Neodiprion lecontei: one gene and its partner. The protein of the gene in region 1 purifies or fractionates together with the protein of each later gene. This does not show direct contact. Links are inferred from orthologs where the notes say so. Each region holds a gene or a part of one and is shown on either strand. Other genes may lie near its edges.

Region 1 (7,244 bases):
CTAGATTGCCTCGTACGATGATGTGTATTTTTTTTTCATATAGCATCACTAATGCCGACGAAAACCTCGCAGTTACAAATTTTTTGAAACATTATTACTTTCATGATAAAATATATAGTGCGAAAAAAAGTTCTTCCGATGTCACTTCCATAAGAAACTTCGATCACAATGCGGGCTATCTCAGACTTGCTGTAAGAATCTGAAAAAAACTTGGCGACTCTTTTTAAATGATTTGAAATTGATTTCGGTGATGGGGTGGTAAAAATTCATCAACACCCTAAACAAGGACCACCCTAATGTACATTAGAGTAGTATGTGCGGCGAAAAAAATGTTAATCTTCTGTGATGAAAGTTTCAATGCAAGAAGAAACCTTTCGCAAAAGATTTTCTGTACACTGTTGGACAAAGTTTGTTGCTAGTGGGAAGTGAGAGACTTACCGTTTAGATTTTTTAATGCTCGTTCGCCATCCTTGCGACTCATGAATGCAACGAAACCGCAATTCCTTTGTCTGGCTTTTTCTTCATCGCTGCGAGGCCACATGATTTTTATACTGGCCAGCGGTCCATATTTGCCAAATATTTCCATTAACTGCTGTTCTGTGATCTGTCAGAGAGTGAATGTCAATTTTGAGGGACACAGATGGAAATTAATTGATACACAAAGTACTGTGAAAAGCTTAAAGAGGGCGAATGCATACCTTTGGATTCAAATTACCAAGGTACAAGTTTGTCGTGTTTGGATCTCCGTTGTCAAAGGAACCATCTGTAAAGCCAAATTGATGTGTTTGAAAATCCTTTTAATTATTTTTCAATGAAGAGTAATTCCGTTCTAGAATTCCCATCACAGCCACAAGGCGATCACGGTCGTTTCTTAATATTCAAAAAACGTTGCTCAAATCAAGAAGACATGAAGCGGTGCATTTTAGAAATATTTGTTTCTGAAATAACGACGTTTTATAATATATTGTACCTTACATTTACTGTTACCTTACATTATTCTCCATAAATTCAATGATACTATGGCTAATTATCTCTTTCCATATGTTTGCAATGTGCGTTAAATCGAAAACTTTTTTGAAGATATCCAAAAGAAATTTATTAGATTTTGCTAATCAAACAATTTCGTTAGTTTCGATGTTGGCATTTTGAGATAAATCTGTATTATACAAACATAGATTAGTATTGGCTCAGTAAAAATTGTGGAACAGATAATGAAATGTAATCGCTGGCAATCAAATATTGAGCGTTTTAAACAGAATTTGAAATATTCGAAATTTAGTCTCTTCAATTTATTCCAAACGATTTTTTTGACAAGATTTGGTATAAAAATATAGCTGATGAATCAAGGTCAAGATATTTCAATCACTACGCTGTAGATACAAATGTTTTCCTGTTAGTAAAAGTTTGTAGTTGACACACAAAACATTTTTGAATTTAGGGAAAAATAATTAAATTTTGAGTGTTTCTATCAAGAGCAACGTTTCTTCAATTCACAAAAAAATTGACAATGAACTCCATGGGTGAATTCTGTGTAAAGTACGAAGAAAATTACTCTGAAAGTGCGGACAAATAAATTGTAGGATGGGATTGGGAATTACCCGAGTAGATCAGGGCTAGGAGACTAGGATCGTCTATGAAGTTACGCAGATTAGCCTTTCGCGGGTCTGGATAGAAGCACGTACCTAGCAAAATTGCAATTCGACTCAATGAGACTACCAGGAACGAATAATTTGAAGTTGAAACCATAGACTGTTCAATAACTATGACTAAAGTGTGAATTTGGGCTATAATAATTCAATGAAGAAATCGAACTTTGGATTGACTAGGATTTTGAGAGATGGATTGAGAATAAAAAAAAAATTTAAGTAATGGTTAAATATCTACCACCTTCGACGCATTTGAGAGCGGCGAGCATCGGGTCCTCAGTTTGGGCTGAAATTACTGTTTTCACTACTCCCTTGTACTTGTGTCTTTCCTCCCGCTCTTCCTGTATCATTTTAAGTTCTTCCTTGAAAAGCTCCAGGTTGCTTTTCTTCTTTTCACCCTCCTTCTTCTTTTTACCCAATCTGTCGAGTTTCCTCTCATTGCTACCAAGCAGTCGTGCGTATTCCTGTGCTTGCTCAGCCGAGGATTTGTTGTCCACGAGCTCAGAGATTTTTGACTGTGGTTTGTAAAGTTTACCCTTCTCCCTTGTGTCCTCCTCTGAGTAAACGAGATTTCAAAAATAATTTTACAATAAGATTTGGCACAATTTGGTTTCAACGAATTTTGAGATATGTGTAAAAGATTACGTCCTAAGTCTGAGAAATTACGAACACAAGGTAACAGATAACAATAACGTATAAAATTCCAGGACAGTTCCAAAATTATAATAAAATAATTAGCAAACAGGAATCATCGATGTAATTCGAGACTTCTTTTGCTTAGGAATTGTGTTAATGTTTTTAGGAGTGTTTATTAAATTTAATTCAAACTACCTGTGAAAAACTCTCTATGCAAATAGTTCGAACATACCGGTGCTTCAAAAATTTAATTCTAATTATTCAATACAATTTTGTTCCAAAGGTATACATGACAGCAAGAATAATTGAAAATTGATGACATCGTATCATAAGGTGCAATTTTTTTTACATTGAATTCTCAGACTTTGATTGAAGCTGCATTTTCAGCGTTATAAGATTAATTTTCAAATTTGAATAACTAAAGCTTACGTCGTTTTCCGGCATCGTAAGTTCCGGCCTTCACCCAGATTTTATTACTTGTTTTGTTAGGAGTTTCTTGAAATGTTGCGACAAACTCTTCAAAAGCCTAAGGTAAGAAAAATTGTTAACTTTTTCTCGAGCTAGAAATACTTTTAAAAATAGGTAAATTCTGAGATAGTGACTCCGCTGATGTTAGCACTAGTTACTAGCCACACGAATCTCGCAAAAAAATAAAATGAATTTGGTCACTATTAGAATAAATCAGAAATTAGGAAAAGTGAAAAACCATCTAAACAATCTCCAGCAATATTTTTTGCCCACTAATCTTGGTGTACACAAATGAAAAAATATCGCTATTATGTAATAGAAATGATTTTATGTAAATTTGGAAAACACTAGTAAGGATATCGACAATTTGAGGTGGTGTAATTACAATATTTGAAATTATTAAACTATGGTGTTTTTCATTCTATTCTAATGTTTCTTGGCTTATTTTGTTCACTATAGAGATCACAAGAGGTAGCCTGACAAATGTTTAGCAAATAGTTCTCAAAAAAAAATGACCATAGATTTTTGCAAATACGGTACAATAATCTTTGGAAAACTTTTATGCAAAAAATAAGTCTAAGAACATTAAAATCGAATTAAAAACACCAAAACTCAAGTATTTTAAATTCTGAAATTGTTGATATCGTACATGTGACTTGAATTTACTCGGATCCATTTCCAACACTCAGTAAAGATATTATGTCATTCAAATTCACCACCATTGACGCAAATAATATGGCTGAAAATTGTTTGTACAGTTTTTTTCTATTCTCTTAGCTTTTGTTTTATACAGCACGTCTACTTCATTCTTTAATCATCACAAAAGTTTTCAGTAATAATGATATTCTTTTTCTACAATAATACTACAATTTAAAGTGGCGTTGCTTCAGAGTTGCTAACGCATGTGATCATCGATGTTAAAATCGTAAAATTTAGTGACATTGCAATGCCTTGTGTTTATAGGCGACTCTAGCAGAGTCCCTCTTCCATGCGAAAGACAGCATTGAATTTCTTTATCCGTTTGTGAGACTTTATCTACCTGAGCCGCTGCCTGCTCTTGTTCCTTTTTTCGTTGTTCTTCGAGTTCTTTTTTGCTGAGAGGCCGCTTTCCCATCGTGCCTATGGAGAACGCTTTCAACTTCTGTTCAGCAATTTGCTGCAACGTTAAAATCGCAAGGGCTGAATGTACGTGTTGTGCCGATATAATTCACTGTCAAATTTAAAACAATTAGGTGGGCGTACCTTCATCATTGCCTTGTCCGCCATCTCGTCTGTTTTTGTGATGTAGACTGATGTGGAAGTATGAATATAAGGGCTATACAATCGGGTAATCCGACGCGATAAGCTTAACCTAAAAATTCATCTTTCGCGACGCGATATTTGCGGGCAGGGACGAAAATCGATGGAAGTGTCTCAACTGCATAAATTCTCGCCGAACGAAATAGACAAATAATTCCGCACGGACTTTATAATGTTACATTACATTTGTCAGTCACTGAGTAAACTTTATTCAGCAGTTTTCGCAGACACACAACGATTCGAAAAACCCGAAGCATCGAATGCAAAAAGGTTTTATGTCATGGTTTATGCAAAGAGAATTAGATAGAGTGAACGCTGAGCCCCCTGACACATGCTGCTAACAGTGGTTCGCAAAATGTCCCTCGATTCTGCCGCCAATTTCCACCACTAGTGGCGCTAGTAGTTGTCTGTCAAGCTTGCGCGCGGTCAGCGAGGGCAGCGACGTGTCTAAAGTCTACTAGCACCACGTGGAAGAACTAAAAAACGGGAACAAAACGCGTACAATTTTTTAGTATACGAGCAGTGGTGAGTGTCAGGGGGCTGCCATAAGGCCGCAATGTAATTTTGTGTTGACAATGATGTTCACGGCGTTCAGCGCCTCTTTCAATTCAGCCTTTTAAACGGCCAATCCTTAGCGCCAATTTCAAACTCACAATCAGACACGGTGAATTGAGAGGAGTGTGCGTTGGAAGATGATGCCAAAATATTTCATTATTGAAAAATTAATTTTTATTCCAAATAGGCAAGAAATATTTTTATGGTATTCAGCACACCGTTACCAGATATTATAATAATATTACGGTATCCAATCTTAGATGTAATTATTATTAATCAAATATCACAATGTCAATTATTATGTATTGATCGATAATTAATGTCAACTTAAATTTATTATGTACAATTAGTTGGATTGATACCAGTAGCAGAATCAAACATGCTTACTTAGTAGCTAAGGTTTGATTTGATTTTTGTACGTTCTGATGTGTAACTACTGGGTTTCTTGGGTCATTGATAATATTTACAATTACTTTTCCGTCCTCACCTGAGATCACTATCTGAGATACATTATTGGAATGAATATTGATTGTCTGTGTTTGAGCGGGTGATACTCTGTTCTGTTCTGCTATTTTTAGCAAACCCGACCCTGTATGTTTATTTGTAATTCGAAATTCCACATTGACACATGAAATTACGAAAAATATATCGATCAAGGTATAGAAACCAATATTTATATACCTTCAACAGATTTCTGGCTGTGTGATTTTAGGGACTATTTTGCCTCAGGAAGCTTACGAATGGTTAGTACAGCATTTCATACTAACAACGGCCTTGGGAATTTCTTTATAATCAGGTTATTGTCAAAATGGTCTGTACAAATTCGAATATGACAAAAATCATTGTTTTGTTCAACGAATTTCAACCATTTATCACTCCTGTAAACAAAAGATGTATACAACTTGTAGATAGCGTGCACTGATATTTATACTATAGTAATTGAATACGTGAAGCAAATAACGATTCTTAACTTTGAGAATAAATATATAATTATGAATTAGCTACATCATTTATTTTTACTTTTAACACAGAAATGGTGATGCAGGGTGTCCCAGCTCCAAGTGACCAAACTAACAGGGGTTATAGAAAATATCAAACTGAGTAAATACACTCAAAGAATACGTAGTCTCCGAAGTCGCGTTCGCGAGATACGACCGGTTAAAAAAGTCCCGCTAAGCGCCGGCATGTAGGCAACCGAGTATACAGCAGGCAGTGATTAGTGGTCTTGTTGATCGCTCGAAACGCACATTGAATTTGCGCCAAATACAATAACGAAGCTGCGTGATGAAAATGGAGAACGTTTTCGAGTTTAAGAATTCCCTACAACAGTGTTTTCGATATCAAATTTTATTATCCACATTTGGCGCTTGATACCAAGTGCAACATTCTCCAAGAATTCCGGTAGGACTTCTTTCAGACGAATTAGGTACATTCGGTCATTCAAGCGTGACGGTAAGAAACAAACTCCAATTAGCTGGTTGTCAAGAATCCCTGCCTACGCGTTTACGCCGAATTTTACCTGATGTGCATGTTTGAAAGTAGCATGAGGGTTCACTTGAATCCAGACATGACTGTTACGTGAATTAAACATCCCCTCTCGCGTAAATGAGAACTCATCAGAGAACAACTTTGTTGAGGAACTCTGGGTCATTCGCGTCGCGTTCCAACAACCACCAACACAAATCGACCCGAGCAGATTAATCCTCAGGAAAGAGACCATGAACTTTCTGCCGTTGGAATGGATTTTTCCCATCGTCGTGCAAAACTCGAAAAATCTTTGAACGGCTGATGTCAAGTGAAGATGCAGCCGCACGGAAACTCGTTGACCGGTTGTTTTCGAAATGCTGCAGCTCTTTTCCCTTGGTTTACGCGAGGCCTAATGATAATAAATAATTCGAAAAATGTTTCGTATTTAAACTGTTTGACAGATTTGGAAAATGACCTGAAACATATCTAAAACGAACCTGTCTCACGGAACCTCCGATGCACTGCTGTAAACGTACGGTAGTGCGGAAGTACTCGATCAGGAAAGCGGTGCTCATAAATCCGTTGGGCTAACAGCGAATTTCTTTCTGCAGCTCCGTATGCAAGTTGCATGTCAGCTTGTTTATTGAACGTCAATCGCGGCATGCTAGTCAACAAAAAAAGAAGCAATATACCACTCAGAATACTAAACGAGAACGATGCAAAACCGAATGAGACCGATTATACAGTTCAACGTGAATGAATGATAAGGCTATTTCCATCGCACGTCCTCGTTGTTGTGTTTGGGGGAAATTCAATGTCAAGAGTGTTTTCGTTTGAAATTCGTGAATTTGAAACCATTTTGTTTTGCATCAATAGTCAAGCACGCAATGAGTGCGCATCAACAAGACCGCTAACCAGTGGCTGCTGTATGCTCGGTTGCCTACATGCCGGCGCTTAGCGGGACTTCTTTAACCGGTCGTATCTCGCCAACGCGACTTCGGAGACGACATGTTTTTTGGGTTAATTTACTCAGTTTGATCTTCTCTATAACCCCTATCAGTTTGGTCACGTGGAGCTAGGACACTCTAGGATAATCTTCGAGGGTTCATTAGACGTTAAGACGGCTACGGAATATTGCTTCGTTTCAGCAAAGAACTAACGTTTCAGTATCCT
Region 2 (7,996 bases), on another chromosome or scaffold:
ATAAATACAGTTGTTGAATTTTCAACATTTTTTCAAATAAGGCATGTTGTTGCTCCTGGAGAGAAATGCACTGACTTGAGTATATACATATTATACTTTCAACAACTGTAATTGTAAATTAATGATAACGAGTCTATTCTCAGCTCGAAATAATAAACACATAAAATCAGTAATGGGAAATGCAAAATATGTACGTTATAAATAATGAGTAATGTATACGGGTATAGGCAGTTTTCCGTTCTTTGATTAAGTTTTCTCTTCCTTTCTTCATTGCTACAATGTAATATTTCAACCCACCATGATTTCTTTTCGTTTTTATTCTTGTTTCTTATGCGAGATATGCCTGAACTAAGCTTCACTGTTTCTAATTATTGACTTTTAGGTAGTTAAAAAAAAAATCAAAAACCACTAGTCTTTTTACCAACCGCAAATAACCAAAGTTTTATCAATACTTGATCTTAGCTCAAACAGCGAACCACAATTAACTGACATAAATCCTTTTACATGATTCTAATCGAAAGACAATCCGCCATTAATTATTCGTGATTTCTATAATCCATAAATTTGTTTTACTGATCAGGTAAATCAAATTGGTAGTATACAAGCATGCATTCGTTTTTTTAAATTCTGTAACGTTTTTTTTCTTATTTATTCTCCTTTCGTACAGATTATCTTCATTCTATGAACAAATTTCTGTAAACGTATTGACATTGTACACATCATTTGATAACATAATATTCTTGTTGATGCTTGAATGCGCCCTTTCTACTAATTGTTGTTTCTTTTTTTGTGTTGTTTCAGAATAGCAGTTAAAATTGTGAAACGTTCCTCGCAAATAGCTAACGAACTTTTAAACGATGAAATAACTGTGTAGACTTAGTTATTCGTGTAAGAAAACACATTGTGATCCGTACATATAAAAACTGACACATATTGCCGGGGTTGAATACGATAAAGTAATAAATAATATCGTTCAAAAGTCAAAGAATCTTTAAGCTTTGACCATGACTAAAGACCATGCAAAAATCAGGGGCTATCGTTAAGTTTCCATTTTGATGAAACAATAAACAACGTAGTAAGTCTTTTTTAATTATTCCACATTGTTTTAGGGTGTTTTTATACCAAATGGTATGAATGCAAAATCTTTTATTTTACGAAAATGTCTTCCTTCGTCAAGTAAAAAAATGCGTCTCCCTTTTCATTTCTGTTCCTTTGCTCACAAGCAACGGTTACACTGTGTACATCTATATTATGTACACGTACAAGTACGTACACGTGAGTATACGTATAAACAGCCGCACTTTTGTCTTACAATGTCGATATTAGAGACAATATCATATATTTAATTATAAAATAATTCAATCTCGTTCTGCTCTTTCTTCCGCTCTTTCCTCCGCTCTTGCTTTCATTCGCGTGATAAAAGCTTGGCCTTTACTTTTTCTGAAGTTCTCGTACGGGTCATTCAAATTAATCCCAACACCTTTGTACTGGTCATTTTTGTCCCGTATTTCCCCTCCTGATATCGGTGCTTCAATTCCTTGTTCATTTGCACCCAAACCAGCTCCACCCCATCCCATTTTTTTCAATAATTGATGGCCTTTATTACTCTCATCTAAACTTATCTCCTGCTGTGCTTTGCTGTACGTTGATCCCCTATTGAAGTGTATAAGTCAGCATTTCGTTATCACATATTGGTAAAATTCATTTGAATGAAAAATGTACTTTTGTACCGGAACTATATCGAAAAAAGTCAACAAATTGATTTTTCCATTTGACAAAGTTACGAAAAATCGTACAAGGAAACTAACCACGCGAATTTTAAATAATTTTAACTCACTAATTAAGTTTAAAAAAAATATAATGACGTAAATATGCTTACAGAAAACTAGGTGGCGTAGGACTTCGGTCAGATCTGTCCCCTCGCTTGCTGTCTGGACTCCTTTCTTTGTTGCTATTTCTTCTGTTTCTCCTACTCCTGCTATTGTGATTGCTACTATTACGGGAATTGCGCCGGTGATTACTCGTTGGTGATCTAGATCTGCTTCGGCCCTTCGATCTAGACCTGGATCTGCTGCGAGATTTACTTCTGTATCGTTTTTTGGGCGGACTCGGGCTTTTAGATCGTGGCCTTAAAATAGGGGACGGTGATCGAGACCTCTGTCTTAATCCACTCAGAATGTCTTCCTCCTTTCGTTTGCGTGCCGCATTTTTCGCCTTGTAGTACTCATACAGACCGAGTTTCTCCCAGCCGTCACTAAAATTCGATAGTAACAATATAAGCATGCATGCATTTAGTCCAATAGTAATATACCTAACATCAGCGTCACATCGCTGTGAATTGGTGTATTTGCCTGAATATCGTATGTAAATGTGTCGGTATAACATGAAATTATTACTAAACATTGATTTACCTATCCCTGGGTGAATCGTGATTTGGAGGAGCATAAAATGCTTCGACTGCAGCAACTAATCTATCACTCGGTGGAGCCGGTGGTGGAAGTCTTATAGCATCTGGATCTAATGACTTATATTCGCCGTCCTCCAATTTGATGAGTGGGACCATTAAGCCAGCTGGTAATTCGAAGTATGGCATACTAGGCATAAGATCTTCCATGGATGGTTCGTGAATGATCGGTGGAGGGCCAAAGCCAGGTGGTGGTTTAGAGAAGTCCGGTAATGGAACATTGGTAAACGGAGGTGGTTCCGGAGCCCCAGGAACTCCCCAGCCTGGTGGGGGCTGACTAAAATTCATATCACCACCAGACATTGGAGGAGGCGGCCCAGTGTGAGTTGGTGGTATGTTTAAATTTGGTTGGTTCTGTATAAAACATTTTCATTAATTAGAAGCGCGAAACATTTTTTGAATATGCAATATCAGTTTATTTTACAACAAAGCTTACCATTTGCGGTGGCGGAGGTGGTGGAGCTTTAAGCTGCTGATCAATGGAAATTTTCTGCTGCTCTATAGTTTGAATTTGTCTCATAGCATGATTGATGAAGGCCTGATGCTGAGCTTGATAATTTTCAAAAGTCTGTTTGGTTGATGTGGTGATTGGTGTAATGGCACTTGCATGTTTTGAAACTAAACTGGCCTGGTATTCTGACCAAGATATACTCGGTTGCTTCAACTTCTCGATTATTCCATCGTCAAAGTAATTATTTTTAGATTCCCAAAGGCTTAAAAGTTTGTTCAATTTATTAAGCTGTTCATCGGTAGCAGCCAATGACGTGTTGCAGAACATCGGGACAACAACGCTTTCCATTGCTTTGCGAAGATCGATTGATTTTTTCCTCGCACTAAGAAATTGTTTTAAGATTTACAATAATGTATACATGATTATATTGTATGTGTTGGATAAAAAGGTACAGAACCAATTCTAGAATATCTTTTATAAACCAGTTATATGCATTTCCAGTTTGCATTCATTTGACCAGTCTGCTTATCCTACCTTCAGGTAAGCACTGAGTCGAAATAAACTTTTGAAATAATAATCCTCTTTGTGAAATACACTTGTGTGCTTACCAATGATGAAGAACATCGTTTACTAAGTAAATCACGTGTAACTTCTGGCTGAAAGCTGCTCCTTGAATTACTCTAAAATTTATTACAGAAATTACTATAATTCGATTAAAAAAAAAATTAATATGGTTTTGTTGCCGGCTAAGCTTTGATGTGAAATTTTGATAACTTTAAACACATCGAGAAATGGTGATGAACAGATATACATACTTTTTCAGCAAATGCTCAGCGATAACTTGATTGCTTTGTGCTGTGATAGAATTCTGTAGTATCCAAGCCTTTCCGGCACTGATGCTGTCCTTAGTGCAGCTCTCGATAATGGGTTGTAGTACAGAATCAAATGCAGAAAGGTCAGTGTTTGTATGCTGAGCATTATTTTGCAGCGATGCTTCTTGAGCTTGTCTGACAGCCTCCTCGACTCTCCCTTGTTGTTGAGCCATTAAAGCGGCGTGTTGGGCAGCGAGGTTTTGCTCAGATTGCCTAACTTGTTCTCGGAGTGTAGCTTGCTGTGACTGAAGCTGCGCAAGTTCATTTCGCAACCAACCTGAAGGACCGGCAATATTGACACCAGAATTAACTCCTCCGATCGGCGAATTCACGTTCCTTATTGGTCCAGGAATGGCCCCAACAGGTGGTCCCACATTTCCAGGCCCTCCGATTGGTCCTGGAACTCCGGATACTCCGGGTACCCCAGTTATCCCTGGTATAACGGGCCCTGGGTTCCCGACCACTTGGCTTAAACCGTTGTTTTGAGCGCTCAGGCTCGAGGCAAGACTGACGTTATTTTGTGGCGAAGCGACGGCCGCGGCTGTTTGCTGCTGCTGCGAAACGTTTAAACGTGGGTCGGCATTTTGCATTGGATTTATTCCTTTTTGCTTTAAAACTGTAAACGAATGACGGTGGATTATTGCAATTTGTTTTCATTTCTTCATGATATTGAAAAAATAAACTAATGGTCCATGTTTTTTACTTTTTTTTTGTTATTTTTTTGTCATTTTTAATTCGGTTGTTTTTTGGATGAATATCTTCGAATGGCACATATTAATTTTTCTGGCATCATGTAAGAATGCATTAAGTCTACTGTTAAATTTAAAGCGCCACTGAACACAGAATGTGTTGTTTTCTTTCTTTCATCGTGCTACACCAAACAGTTGAGTACAGGAGCATGTATGTAAAACAGATTTTACTGCGGCAGTGTGTAGTACTCTTCATAAACATAAAAGTAGTTGGTATTTTAAACATTTGTATCCTTGCCGATCTAATCTTGGATCAGATAACAATCCTAAAGCTACATCTTGTTCTTATTTGTATTTTAAGAAAGCCCCTTTCACATTTCTAGTTTTTTTCAAGTCTTATAATAAATAACGATTCCCAAAATCTTGAACGATGTCCTGATTTGCACAAATGACATTTTTCATCTCATTGCACGGTGGTGATGTTTTGTTCATTTGACGATTTCATACGTTTTCTCATAGTCGTTTTTTTGTTTTTTTTTTTTTTGGGTTTGCTTCTAGCTCATTGAACGAAGACCTTTTTTTGTACGTTGTTAAGGGGATTTGTTCCCACTTACTGGCTTGCTCCGTTGTCACTTTGTATTGATAGTAGTTAAAGTGCTCTCCGCCAAACAGGAAACCAAACTTCGGGTTATCCTTTTGCTTGTTTTTCGTCATCTGCTCAAACTCTGGTCCGTTACGTGCGACAAATTGAGCCAGCTTGTCTATGATGTTGCGCAAGTCCGTGTCTATTAAATCATTTAAAACAGAACTTTGTTAGAACAATCGGCATCCAACAACAATGTAAGCTTACATCATATTTCATGGAAAAAAAGGATCATCATCTTACCCGGTATTATTTTCTAGACAGATTATTTTCTAAAATATTCAAGAAATCATTATGACATATAAGTACAATATCCTAGTTACAGTTCTGATATAAAAAATAATCCAACATTTAGATAGCTATCCTGTTATTTATTAACTTTAAAATATAAATGGAAACAATATGTAACCATCGCAGAACAAGATATGATATCAAGATAAGGATATCAATATAATGTTATTGCGGTATTGAAGAGTATCAGATATTTCTCTTGAGACAAATCGTTTATGATATAACTTAAAAGATTCTCCAGACTTGTTTGATCGCAATTTAGATGTCGATTACGTGTTGTGAAATGAATATGGAATACAAATATTTACCCTGTTAAAATCATAACCATACCTAAGGTTTGATTAACAGATTGTATATCTTGAAGGGTGATTGTAGGAGAGAAAGCAGCGAACGGACAATGAATGTGAACGTGGAAAACAAAAATAATCACCGATATTTCGCCGAGTGTTGTAAAAGATTCGTAGATAGTCATACTTAGTAATAAATCAAAATTCCAAATTCTCATCGGGGTGCCGATTTCGGCAATTTTAAGGTGGACGTGAGAGGAGCCACATAACCTAATACAATTCCTGTACACAACGATATGTTTGTGTAGCACAGGGTGAGAGAAATCTGCAGTGATTTGTATTTACTCGTCAAGTTGTAAAGGTGGAGAGTAATATTGTATTGATGGGCGAAAAATTAAGCCGAAAAATTAATTGATACGTGATACGTAGTGTGGAAATAATACCGCGCTTCGTTGATTCTTGGGATTGTGATTTTTTTTCTCTACCTGCAGGAGCCTGATCCATTTCTTCTTCGTGGGTACTCGAGACTCGTCGTGTAACGAATAATTCACACTTAATAATGAAACTCTATCGTATTTTCAACTGTAATGTTGTGCCGAAAACCATTATGCTCACGATACAGCGACAACGCTAGACATCGCCATTTTTTTCACTTCGTCTCCCTCGCCGGTGACTCAAGAATGTAAAGACAGTCCCCCTAGTGGACTTTGGTGTGACAACCGAAAATCGTCGTGCGCTTGCGCCCTCTGAGATGTTCCAACGGTAGAGTTGAGAACTTATTGCAGAACATCAGAGAGATACGATTTCGACATGATGCTGGCTGCATTCACCGTGATCCACAGACAACTTATAGCCATTCATCTACATTCGTCGCTAAAGTTTTCGATGTAACGCACAGAGGGAGCAGCGATCGCCCCCAACGCCACTGGCATTTCTTCCATTTTGGCTGATCGTCTATCCGACGGACATATGTACGACGAAGCGTTGTCAAGTTCTTTTAAAATCTTCCAAGTATTACGTTTCGTTACACCGATACCGTTACTCACGGAGAACAGGTAAGTTTGTAATATAATAGTAATATCTGCTATTCCATATCATTTTTCATTAAGGTGCTCAACGCCGGCTGAGATTCCAAAATTTATGACACGTGAGGTTGATCTACTCAAATGCAATTTTCAGTATCTTCTACAATGTTACGATCATTTTACCAGGTTAAAGAGTCTTCCAGTTGCCAAATCATTGTGTCGCGTTTCTAAATTTAATCGACGCTACTTTCATGAATTGATTGGAATGATGGGTATCAATACTCGAGACGTTGCGATACCCTAACCTCAAATAGTTCAATGCTCCATCCTGAGTCGTACTATCCTTTCAAACGCAGAGATATTCTGGATCTCCACCATTCTTTGAAATCCTAAATATACATTTATAAATTTATGAAGATCGTTTACTTTGTAAATTGCTCGCTATTATTCCGTTCGCTATCTACACTTCCTTAATCAATCAGGTGTAAACAAATGTTTCTTAACAATCGAAGGTTCCTGTACAGGGAAATTGATAGTAATTTAAAATCGAAAGTCTTCCGCTTGAATTGGAATTCTTCTAGAGGCTGAAAAGTTTGATAAGTTACAATTAAAAGACATGTGAAACGTTAAAGAGAAACAACTAGTAAAAGGTAGAAAAAACGTTAGGATTGATATACTTGGCCCAACACTATTGTTTACCCATCTACTAGATTAGAGGTGTTTTTCAAACTTGCAGACATGCCGGTAACAGAAGAAGTTAAATCCAGTTGGGCAGATGAAGTTGAGGAAGAAGGAGGAGCACTGCCACCACCGACAGAGGTCTATGAAAATGGATTCAAAATCCTTACAGAATACAAATACAACGAAGACGATAAGAAAGTAAAAGTTGTCCGTACATATAAGGTGGAACGTCGTATAGTATCAAAGACTATAGCCGTGCGGAAAAACTGGGCAAAGTTTGGAGACTCCTCGGACGACAGACCTGGACCAAATCCAGCCACAACTGTCGGAGCAGAAGATGTCTTCATGCAGTTCATTTCAAATAAGGAAGAAGAGAACAAGGTCGAAGAAGACTCACTTGACAAATTGAAGAGTATCGGGGACAAGGGTGTCGTCAAGTGTCGTAACTGCAATGGTGATCACTGGACTTCAAAGTGTCCTTACAAAGACACTATACTCGCTGGAGGTAACTTGATACTGATATTTACCCATTATTTGAAGTTCTTGCATTCACTCATCCAAAAACTTTATAATATTCAGGAGCCCTCGCTATA

Evidence for each region. The genes of interacting proteins can lie anywhere in the genome.
Region 2: the proteins of U2 snRNP-associated SURP motif-containing protein (region 1) and calcium homeostasis endoplasmic reticulum protein purify together in Homo sapiens (affinity purification with mass spectrometry; 4 studies listed by BioGRID and IntAct, with this or other methods). This does not show direct contact. The link is inferred for Neodiprion lecontei from reciprocal best matches to the Homo sapiens genes U2SURP and CHERP.

What each region holds. Positions count from the first base shown.
Region 1 is NC_060264.1:17,304,218-17,311,461, forward strand, and holds the start of U2 snRNP-associated SURP motif-containing protein, read right to left. Parts: upstream 4,316-7,244; 5' UTR 4,017-4,315; coding exon 3,993-4,016; intron 3,907-3,992; coding exon 3,790-3,906; intron 2,809-3,789; coding exon 2,712-2,808; intron 2,203-2,711; coding exon 1,885-2,202; intron 764-1,884; coding exon 699-763; intron 605-698; coding exon 439-604; intron 1-438.
Region 2 is NC_060263.1:36,425,744-36,433,739, reverse strand, and holds calcium homeostasis endoplasmic reticulum protein, read right to left. Parts: upstream 6,428-7,996; 5' UTR 6,202-6,427; coding exon 6,183-6,201; intron 5,262-6,182; coding exon 5,091-5,261; intron 4,404-5,090; coding exon 3,731-4,403; intron 3,596-3,730; coding exon 3,524-3,595; intron 3,298-3,523; coding exon 2,901-3,297; intron 2,819-2,900; coding exon 2,412-2,818; intron 2,255-2,411; coding exon 1,880-2,254; intron 1,654-1,879; coding exon 1,359-1,653; 3' UTR 1,132-1,358; downstream 1-1,131. Other genes in the region: eukaryotic translation initiation factor 3 subunit G, read left to right, coding at 7,461-7,908. UniProt on the Homo sapiens protein: Involved in calcium homeostasis, growth and proliferation.